Drosophila melanogaster: one gene and its partners. The protein of the gene in region 3 interacts with the protein of the main gene of each other region in a biochemical or structural test. Each region holds a gene or a part of one and is shown on either strand. Other genes may lie near its edges.

Region 1 (3,753 bases), on a different chromosome or scaffold from region 3:
CAAGGACTTCATTCCGAACATGATCTCCGGTGCCACACAGGCGGATGTTGCCCTTCTGGTGGTGGATGCTACAAGGGGAGAGTTTGAATCCGGCTTTGAGCTCGGCGGACAGACTAGAGAGCACGCCATTCTAGTGCGATCCCTGGGGGTTAACCAGCTAGGCGTGGTCATCAACAAGCTGGACACCGTTGGCTGGTCCCAGGACCGATTCACAGAGATTGTGACCAAGCTAAAGTCCTTCCTCAAACTGGCGGGCTTCAAGGATTCCGATGTGAGTTTTACGCCCTGTTCCGGACTAACCGGCGAGAACCTCACCAAGAAAGCCCAGGAACCCGCCCTGACCAACTGGTACAGTGGACGCCACCTCCTCGATGTCATTGAGAACTTCAAGATCCCCGAAAGAGCCATCGACAGACCGCTGCGAATGTCCGTGTCGGACATTTACAAGGGCACTGGCTCCGGATTCTGCATCTCGGGACGAGTGGAAACCGGAGTGCTGTGCCTGAACGACAAGGTGCTGGTGGGTGCCAGCCGGGAGCAGGCCCAAGTGAAATCCCTTACCATGAACGAATTCCCACAGACTTGCGTGTTCGCCGGCGATCAGGTCTCCGTCACCCTGCCCGCCTTGGACATCAACAACGTCACCGTGGGCTGCATCATCAGCGATCCACAAACCCCTATTCCGGTGACAACGCGATTCCAGGCCCGCATAATCGTGTTCAACGTCAAGGTGCCCATTACCATGGGCTTCCCCGTGCTGCTGCACCACCAATCCCTAATAGAGCCCGCCGTGGTCTGCAAGCTGACCGCATCGATTCACAAGAGCACCGGCGAGGTGGTCAAGAAGAAGCCGCGTTGCCTGGGCAACAACTCGTGTGCCCTAGTGGAACTGGAAACCAGCAGACCCATCTGCATCGAGCGGTATGCGGACTTCAAGGAGCTGGGACGCGTGATGCTTCGCGTGGCGGGAGTCACCATTGCCGCCGGAATGGTCACCAAGATCCGCTAGGTCGATGACCGCGCTGGATTTTGTACGAAATTTTAGTTAGATATTAACTTTTGTTGATTTCCTAAATATACATAGTTTATATGAATTGATTAAATCGAAAAGACGCTGAAGCATTGGAAGAGATTTCGGTCTGACCATTTTAGCGGTATCTTAAAGTGGAGTGTGTTTTTCATGGAATTAATCACTTTAAGAAATTATTATATTTATTATCATTGAATTAATCATAAGGAATATAATTACAATTTATACATAAATTGCAATATCACGTTTTTGGAATATTATGACCCCTACAATAATATTCCAAAAACGTGATATTGCAATTTTTGTATAAATTGTAATTATTTTCCTTATGATAAATTCTATGATTCAAAACTGTATCTCGAAAATGTGAATATGCGGCTGACTAAAATTCTGAATGCGAATCATATTGCTGATTCATGAAACAATCAAGCATTAGAATTTTTTCTTAAACTATCGGCAACACAGCTTATATATTATTTGCAAATTATGCTTAAAAAATAAAATAGGAATACCATAAAATATCACTTACTGTAGAAAACAATTTCAATATGAAATCGTATTAACAAAATTAAAATTAAAAAAAAATATATAGGGAAAATAACAATTTAAATATTTCCAAAATTTGATGTGCTAATATAAATTTAAAAGAATCAAATATATTTCGAATATAAATTTTATAGTTTATTTTTAAAATTTACAGCAATGCTTTAAAAGTGTCATCGCTAAGCCATTGCGATAGTCGTGCGTAGCCCTCGGCCTGCGAGTGCCGATAGTGCCATCGATGCTTTGGCAGCCCTAGTCTTTGAGTGTTCGCTGTTCGCTGAGGGCGAAAAAGTAAAGAAATTACAAGGCAAACTAGTGTTAAATTAAAAGTGAAGCGATTCGCGAGCGGCGACAGGTGAAGCGGTCCCCAAGGAGCAAGCAGTTGGCGGCAGCGAGTGAAAAGCATAGGTAAAACTCCGCCCAGAGTTGCCCTGCCGCCCGACATGCGGGTGCATTTGCGTGGTTCAGTTGTTTAGTGGCCGTTCGGTAGGCCGATGTACGCACATGGGTGCCCAGTGTGCAATTTAAGTGCATTTTAAGTGAGAGAGCTGAGTGAAATTTAAGGGAATCTCCGGCTTGAGGCGTTGCAGTGGGGCGCTGCGTTCGGTGCGGCCGCCTGGCAACCCTGAAAATGAATCATTAGAGCGAGAACGAGAACGAGAGAGTTGTGAAGAAGAAAAGAGGGAGTGCAGTCAGTTCTCAGCATACCAAAAAACGCAAACCAAAAAGACTCGCAAAGAATTTAGCGTTTATTGTGTCTAAAAAGCGCCTTTCTTCTTACTCCCCCCACAGTGTGCTCTCGGTAGCAGTGACGGCCGTCTCGAGGAACAGTCAAGCCAGGATATTTCCGCTCAAAAAAGCAACAATTGAACGCACGCAACTCGGCGGAAGGAGCGAGCGAGAGAGGGAGCACAAACACCATCACACATTCACACACACTAACACACACACACTCACGCAGTCACTTACACGGCACAAAGGTTATCAACAGCAAAAGCAACAACAACAAACAATTTACTTTAAATATAAAACATATATTAACTAATAAGCAAGAGCAACAAAAAAAAACAAAAACAAAAAACAACTGCAACCGACAAGCAATCGCCGAACAACGCCTAAAAACAAGTGATTTTCGAGGGAGAGCCACCTGGAAAGTGAACCCACCTACCTGGCCTACCTGCATTTTGGGTCTCTTCCCTAGAATTTAGCACAAAACAAGAGATATACGAAGGATATACAAACAGCACAGCAGCCAGCATGCGTGAGTACAAAATCGTGGTCCTTGGAAGCGGCGGCGTGGGCAAATCCGCGCTGACAGTCCAGTTTGTCCAGTGCATCTTCGTGGAGAAGTACGATCCCACCATCGAGGACAGTTACAGGAAGCAGGTGGAGGTGGACGGACAGCAGTGCATGCTGGAGATCCTGGACACGGCGGGTACGGAGCAGTTCACGGCCATGCGGGATTTGTACATGAAGAACGGCCAGGGATTCGTGCTGGTCTACTCGATCACGGCGCAATCGACGTTTAACGATCTGCAGGACCTGCGCGAGCAGATACTCCGGGTGAAGGACACGGACGATGTGCCCATGGTGCTCGTGGGCAACAAGTGCGACCTCGAAGAGGAGCGCGTCGTCGGCAAGGAGCTGGGCAAGAACCTGGCCACCCAGTTCAACTGCGCCTTCATGGAGACCTCAGCCAAAGCCAAAGTGAATGTGAACGATATTTTCTACGACCTGGTCCGGCAGATCAACAAGAAGTCGCCCGAGAAGAAACAGAAGAAGCCGAAAAAGTCCCTATGTGTTCTGCTATAAGACTTCCAAAAACCACCAAAACTAAAAAAACAAAAAAAAAAATATATAACAGAGGAGGAGGAGAGAGGAGCAAAAGTATAAGCGTAAAGTAAAGAATTTTCAAATTTTTTTCGTTCTCGTTTCGTTTTGGATCCGATGGCAATTGTCGAATTGAAATAACCAATCTACTATATACAAGCAAAACTTAAACTGACAAATGTTTTTAACTGTTTCAAGTTTTTGTAATTATTACCATTTACTACTATTATGATTGTACTATTTTTCGCTGATTAACCATTAATTCATATGGGGAATTATTATATATATATATCTACATATTTAAATATATTTGTCGTTCGTTTTTGAGCCGTTTTTTAAATTATGCAACA
Region 2 (3,753 bases), on a different chromosome or scaffold from region 3:
TATTCTGCGTATTGGTGTTGGCAGTCAACGATCCCGTGGCGGTCATAAAATCATCCGTGCTGCTGGTGTTTGTTGATGCCGATTGAGTCGAGCTTGATTCAGTGGTCGTAGTGGTCTCTGTGGATGTTTTGCTGGGCGAACTGTCGCTGGAGGATTGCGACGACGGCAGTTTGACAGGCATAGTTTCATAAATGCGATCCTTGTCGTTGTGACGTCTCTCTACCTGCAGCAGATCGTCTATGTCGTCCCAATCCAGTTTTTCCAGACGGTCCAACTTCGAAGGCAATGTGCTGGACACACAACTTGTGCTGGCAGTAGGAGCCTCCACCAGGGTTCCAGATGAGTCCGTCGTGGTCGTATCCTCGTCGTCGTTGCACACATTACCATTGGTCTGCTCTTTGCTGTTGGCTGTGGTGTTGGCCGAGGCATCTTCTGGGGTTGTGGGCAACTCGGAGATCTCGTTCAGGCTACAGGAGTCGAAGGTCATGCTCTCGGAAAGGGAAACATCCGTGGATAGTTGATCGACCTCGGCTGTGGTGGTGGTGGGCGGAGCCAGCGATTCGCTAGCTTCGTTTTCCTTATCCGAACTGCTTTCCTGTGGGTACAATTGTATAAATAACGTTTTGTTATGTTATAGATTCAGCTTACATTGGCAGCCTTGGACACACGGCAAGAGTTCCTTTTGCGCACTAAGATGCGCTGATCATCGTCCTCCTTGAGATGAATCACTCCCTGCACGCCCCAGTAAACTCTAAGCGCGCCTTCCAGCACCAACCGGTTGTTGACCTCACGACTACGTATCTCCAGGCTTTTGTTGTCGTAGAATTGGTTGTAGACCTGCCCATTAAAAGGGAATTTGGTGAGTCATGAGATATTGATATGTCTGGGTATTGCGTTCTGCACCTTAAGTTTGGACTCCAGGTGATCACGTGGGAGTGGCGGGCCATTGGCCTGAGCTCCGGTTGGCTTCTGGGCTCCCTTCACCCCATAGCTTTTGTGCGATTCCACCCGGGTGCCGTGGCCAAACAACTGGGGTCCAAACAGGGCGCCATAGCAGGGCACATGGCAGTAGGGCACACTTTTGTGCTGAAAGGAAAACAAAAGGCTTTATATAGATCACATGATCGGCTAACTAACAGGTGATCCTCCTACCTCAGCATGCTGGCCGGGATTTAAGCGTTTGCCGCATTCCTCGCAGCGCAAACATTCCGGATGCCAATCGTAGCCGATCGATTGTTTACGTTCCGCTGTGCGGGGCATAAATAAATATAATTTACAAGTTATTTACGGATCGCAATGCGCTCGTGTGTGGGTGCATTACCGAAGTAAACGGGTTTGCCGCACTTGTGGCACTTCCACATTCTGGATTCCAAACAGGTCGGTCTAATGCTTCCTCCGGGAATGGGCGTGTTTCACTCCTCCTCCTCTACTTCGCCGATTTTAAAGAGTTGTGACGTAAAGCCGTCGAGTTGTATGCAAATGAGGCGATTTAAAGCGGACACGAAACGCAAATAGAACGCTGGACAAGGGGTAAACACATGAGGCGAGGGGGGACGTGAGACTCTGATCGGTCAGTCGGTCAGCTGCGCTGGTTGCCGTGCGAAACTCATAGTTTTATAAATGAAACTGGCACTGGGCACTCCCACACTTGGTGCACGGTGCAGGTGCATCGGTTTTCGGTGCGTACTTGTGTGGATAATTGCACTTAAACCAAAACAGCACCAGCAGAAAGAGAACAGAACAATGAAATGAAAAATGGCACTTGTGCAGCACTGGCCGCGGATTCTTGTCGCACAAGGCGGGCACCCTAAAATCCAGCGGTGCTGTCAGCTGATCTGTTTTGTAGCTAGATTTGACTTGGCTGGCGGTAGCTTGAAACGGATTTGCTTGTTTTGGTGTTTAAAATTGTCATCGTTTGTACTTTAAATACATCTACATTGATTATGGCTAGAACCCAAATCTTTTTTGGGCTGTATCTTCTTTTAGGGAATTTAAGTTCCTAATTAGCTTCTTCTTAGCTACAAAAGTTTCCAACACTGATAAACCGTGCTGACAATGTCAATGTGCGTTGTTTTATGCCTTTGAATTGAAATCTTCGTAACTAATCGAGTTTTAAAACGAAAATCAGCACAAGGAAAACACTAAGCATTCAATACATTTAAAATTTTAAAAGATATGAGCAAAAGCAAATAAGCCCGCCAAAGTGTGTGACCATTCGCGCTGCTAGATTTGTTTTCGCTGCGAGTGCGGGCACACCGATCTGCTCTAGTAGAAAGTGAGACGTTTTAATTTGTTGTCTCTGCGCGCTGTGTAAATTTGGTAAATTCGGCCCCGAATCGCGTAAATTGGCGAGTTTCGCTAATTAGGGCCAGTGCTCAACGTGTGTAGCCGTCGATTGCCAAGGATGCGACTAATCACCATATCTCCTGCTGCCCGCAATTAGCTTCTCCCAGAGCCGCCCTCGAAAATCGCGCATCGAAATCCCCACTTCAGCAAGGAAAGCAAAGCAAAGCAGAGCAGCAGCAACAGGCCAACAAAGATTCACGGGCCTCAATTAGCGTAGCGAAATAGCCAGCAGTGCAGTCTAGGTGCTGCTTGCGTGGTGGCCAAAATGCGCGCCACCATCGAGTTCGAGGAGTGCCTGAAGGATTCTCCCAGATTCAGGTGCATATAAGCTGCAGCCCCGCCCCCACTGTGTGCCCATCCTGAGCCGCATTTGGCGTGAGATTCGAATTGCTCCATGTAGCGTGACTGGTTACTATCCAAAACCAGATACAGCCCAACACCGCCCCACCTGCTCCACCTGAAAACGCGGCTTAATCATCCATCGAACAAACTTTGTCCCGTCAGCAGTGTGGAATGTGCCTGCCTGCCCCTTTATTTCCGCAATTAAATTGCCGATGCTCTCGTCTCCGTCCGCGAACGCTTCAATGCCCGCCGCTGATTGATAAGATTTCACCCAAATTGCCGCTTCTCCACTAATCGTGTCCAAAGACAAAAGCTTTCCCTCGTAAAACGGTGCACAAACGCGGCGATAACTTGTTTGCCCAGCAGCCCCATCACATCTTCCCCACTTTTTCGCACCTGCAGCAGCTTCACTTGAAAGAAAACAGGAAATCAAGACTATCTTGGATTCTCCTGCACTTCGGTTCTTTTATCATTTGTGGAAGTGCCAACTTGACCTTGGTGTTTCGAAACCGAAGTACACTACAATAAATTATGTGAATCATATGTGAACTTTTCTGCCATGCATATAAAAAATAAGAAATCTAAGGATCTGTAAAGTAGGACATTTCTATTGCTTCAGAACTAGGCAGATATTATCGCAACCATAGTAAAATGTATCAATGTTATGCATTTTTTTAAACTAGCTTAAACTAGTTTCCAGTTTTAAGTAGAATTAAACGATTTATTTTTTATCAAAAACTTCAACTCATTGTGCATTTGGCTCAATCGTTTGAATGACGAACACATATTTGAAGATATATGAAGCTTTCGAAAGCCATTAGTTTAAAATGAAAACTGTGTATGATAGCAATATTATCACGGAATACGACTTTTCAAAGCCACTCTCAGAATGAATTGACTGCTGAAATAGACAGACCTCCATTCGAAATTACCATGTAGCTAGCCTCTGGAACGAGTACGTCCAAGAAAATAAACACAAAGTTAAAACAAAAGCAATGCCCGACAAATCGATGGATGACACAGGGGAAAAAGACGAGAAAAACCCGAAGAAGACGCAACAGAGTG
Region 3 (3,753 bases):
GTGCTCCCAGTTGTTCAAATCGTTGGCCCCGCTTGCCAGATGCTGTTCATCCTGCTGTTGTTGTTGCTGCTGCTGTTGTTGTTGTTGTTGCTGCTCCGCTGCTGCCGGAGAATACTCTGTGGCTATGGGTTTTTCATCGCCACGGCCATCTCCCGCATTTTTGCGATCGAAGTGCTCCAGGAACTGCGGCCTGTAGCGGTTTCGCGGCTTCTGGTCGTCGTTGTTTTTGGCCGTTGTGGAGTCGTCCGAATCGGAGTTGATTACCATAGTGCCTGAATAACAGACAATACAATAACAAATGGCCAGCCCTTTCAAAATCATTTACATACCCAAGTTCGACTCCAGCTCCACCATTGTGCCGCTGTCAACTGCCGGCATGTCCAGAGGAGATGCTGCCGAAGAGGCCGCTGCAGGAGCAGCTGCCTTGGACAGGTTCCTTAGTCCACCCGGCCCCAAAGTGCCCTCATCCACACCTTGCTCTGCATGCGCTATCATGGTGGCATCTGAGGCTGAGCTCTGTTGGTATTCACCGAACTTCTCCGGCACCAGAGTACCTGGATCCTCCATAAACGCGTTGTCCGTGATGTGTTGTTGCATTCCGTTTTCCTGGGTTGCCAAGCTCTTCGCCTGACTAGCAGCCAACACGCCCCCAAAACTGCGATTGGCGCGTTGCTGCTCGCGAATGGCACAGGTCTCCTCAAGCATAGGCTTTAGGATCGATCGGTGCTTGGCGTTGCGTATGAACTCGTGCTCCAGCAGTTCAGTGGCCGTTGCCCGGTCGTCTGGCTCCTTTACCAGGCACTTGCTCACGAAGTCAATGAACTCTGTGCTCCAGCGATCCGGTTCCCGGAACGATGGTGGTGGCTTCTGCGGAATCATAAAGATGGCTCGCATGGGATGGATCTCACCGTATGGGGGCTTTCCCTCGGCCATTTCCAAGGCGGTGATGCCCAATGACCATATGTCTGCCACACAGTCGTAGCCAATCTCCTCAATCACCTCGGGGGCCATCCAGAAGGGCGTTCCGATCACAGTGTTTCTCTTGGCCATTGTGTCCGTGAGCTGACCAGCGACTCCGAAATCGGCCAACTTAGCATAGCCTTCGGTATTGAGCAGGATGTTGGCCGCCTTGATGTCGCGATGGATCTTGCGACGCAGATGCAGATAGACCAAGCCCTGCAGAGTGTCCGACAGAATAGTGGCTATCTCGTCCTCCGTCAGCGTCTTTTTGCGCAGACGCATAATGTCGGAGACGCTGCCGGCGCCACAGTACTCCATGCAGATCCACAGGTCATACTGCTTGAAGTAGGAGCCGTAATAGCGCACCACATACGGCGAGTCGCATTGTTGCATAATGGATATCTCCTTAATAATCTCGTGCAGGTCGGACTCCACCGGCACCAGCTTGATGGCCACAATGGAGCTGCTTTCCTTGTGCACTGCCTTGTAGACTGATCCATAGCTGCCCTCGCCCAGCTTGTACATAATGTCGAAGACCTTTTCCGGCGGCTGCAGAAGCGACTCCTCCGACAGCTTCTTCAGCTTGAAGAAGGAGCAGGAGGAGGATATGTTGGGCGATTTCATATCTACAACGCTGGTCACCTCTGGCTCAGACATTGCGAAAAATTTTCTGATTTAGCACGAGAAAACACAGATAATTGGCTATTCACAGCGACATATCACACTTTTGTTCTTTATTCGCACTCGATCGCTAGCCAACACTAGTAGTTCTCAGTGCCCTCGGCACTTTGCAACACGCCACCCGCACAGAACAGGTGCGGCGTTGCCAGACAAACGCCGAACACCGCAGAATGTAAACAAAGCACCAGTGCTGCATAGCAGAATTAGCCATTTATCGATAAGTTCTCTTGGCGCGCTTTTTAAAACTTAATTTATTGGCTCAGAATTATAAGGTTAAAATTAAATTTACAACTCACGCATGCTTACCTCTTTTTTGAAATCTTTGCTTGATGATGGCATTTCTATGTTTTTCTCATGGCTATTGATTAGATTTATGACGATTTACTTTGTACTTTGATTAAAAAGATTTAGTAAATTCTGATTAACATATAATATTTATAATATTAAGTTGTTTAGGTAATTTGTTTCACTTTGAATACGTTTTAATATTTATTACTTCTGTATATAAAATTAAATTGCTTTTATGGATCGATTGTTGTTGTTCATCAAATAGAATAAAATGTTGGCATGATTGACATGAGCTGTGCCAATTTGTCGTTGTTAATCTGCGGTTGCGCCCCCAGAAAACCCAGATCCCCTTCATTCCGATGAGTTCGCTGACCTGAAATGCCCAATAAAAGTGCTTGGGAAATCTACATGCAGTCCGGGGACTTTGGTTAGTGCATAGTCGAATGATAATAACAACATAACTGGCGCCTATAAGGCTAACCGGCTTGTTATTGTAACAAATGCGACTGGAAGAGAGCACCGCAGCGAATGCGAGCAAGCGGCTTTAGCTCCAACTGCTGGCTTATCGGTCACTAAGCCGCCCCAGGCCTTAGCAACGTGCTCCATAGAAACGACACGACACCCAACAGCAACAGCAAAAGCAACGCCAACACCAGGAGTGCCAGCCTGGCTACAGAAATTCCTTCGCTCGGCAGTTCGCTGTTTACACTACGTGGCTGCACATCGTCGCATCAACCGGAAATGGCCATGGCCCAAACGGCACGCACCGCGACGGCAAGGCGTCCCACGCACGACTACCACAGGCCGACGCGCTCCAAGTCCGCCAATCCGGCGCAACTGCGTCCACTTAGCGGCATCCATGGAGCGGCGGTCTCGTCGCGTCCGCGCTACGTTCCACCCTTCTCCATTCAGTCGCAGCAAAAGAACACGGTCGTCATCGACGGACCCATCCACGAAACCGCCCCCAAGACAGCCAGTGCCAGGAGTCGGGTGCCCAATCCGAAAAGTGCGTTAGTTTGTTTATTTGGGTGTTTCGCCCATCGGTATTTGTTTCCCTAATGACATCCCTGCCCACATTTGCATTTGTACTGATTTTCAGTTCTGAGGCGCCAACAAAAGTCCATGTCCACCTTCAACTTGGGCATGGGTCTTAATGGCTGCTCCACCGGTGGGGCTAATGATCCGGGACGAGGAACCCTCTTCCGAATGTACTTTGACCGCGGCGACCTGCCCATAAAGATGGAGTACCTCTGCGGGGGCGACAAAATCGGATGGACGGTGAGTGGTGGGAATTATTTGGTAGGGCGCTAAATTCCATTAGGTTCGTTGTTAGTTGACTTATTAATTATACTATATATATGGTATTAAGTTATATTGTTCGAAATTTGGATAGGTCATACATTTAAACTTAATTCTTTTTAAGCCCTTACATTCGGGTAATGATTTATTTTTGTAACCATAGCTAGAATTTTCCATATGTCTGTTGGCAAACTTAAACTTCAACTATACAAATGTGAGTCAATGCAAATAAAAATCAAATGAAATTGCACGACTGTCACTAGAAAGGGGTAACCTTACCACTCGGTGACCCATAGACAAAGCCCATATTTGAATTTAGCTCGAGTTTCGTACACCTGCGTGTCCAATTATTTCAAGTGTTGCAGGTGAAAGCAAAAACCGAGTAAATAATATGCCATTGTCTATTTCCGGAGTTAGTAGAGCTCCACGGCTGACGGGCAAGCGATTCCGTCCGGAATGCGACTACTGACATTCAAAACGTCGCACCGTCCAACTGTCAGTCAATTTCCCATGGAACTCCGCTGC

What was found.
Region 1: of the proteins of hpo (region 3) and Rap1, one has a biochemical effect on the other in vitro, tested with the Drosophila melanogaster proteins (one study listed by BioGRID).
Region 2: the proteins of hpo (region 3) and Rassf form a complex in vitro, tested with the Drosophila melanogaster proteins (one study listed by BioGRID).

The regions. Positions count from the first base shown.
Region 1 is NT_037436.4:1,860,289-1,864,041, reverse strand, and holds the start of Rap1 (Rap1 GTPase), read left to right. Parts: upstream 1-1,802; 5' UTR 1,803-1,981; exon of another isoform or gene 1,982-2,112; intron 2,113-2,225; exon of another isoform or gene 2,226-2,365; 5' UTR 2,366-2,830; coding exon 2,831-3,385; 3' UTR 3,386-3,753. Other genes in the region: HBS1, read left to right, coding at 1-1,009. UniProt on the Drosophila melanogaster protein: Ras proteins bind GDP/GTP and possess intrinsic GTPase activity. Plays a role in photoreceptor cell determination.
Region 2 is NT_033777.3:23,116,178-23,119,930, forward strand, and holds the start of Rassf (Ras association family member), read right to left. Parts: upstream 1,755-3,753; 5' UTR 1,362-1,754; coding exon 1,322-1,361; intron 1,248-1,321; coding exon 1,153-1,247; intron 1,087-1,152; coding exon 904-1,086; intron 838-903; coding exon 649-837; intron 596-648; coding exon 1-595. Other genes in the region: CenB1A (centaurin beta 1A), read left to right, coding at 2,612-2,664.
Region 3 is NT_033778.4:19,495,132-19,498,884, forward strand, and holds the start of hpo (hippo), read right to left. Parts: upstream 1,726-3,753; 5' UTR 1,618-1,725; coding exon 330-1,617; intron 273-329; coding exon 1-272. Other genes in the region: CG15120 (uncharacterized protein), read left to right, coding at 2,671-2,935, 3,029-3,207. UniProt on the Drosophila melanogaster protein: Plays a key role in the Hippo/SWH (Sav/Wts/Hpo) signaling pathway, a signaling pathway that plays a pivotal role in organ size control and tumor suppression by restricting proliferation and promoting apoptosis.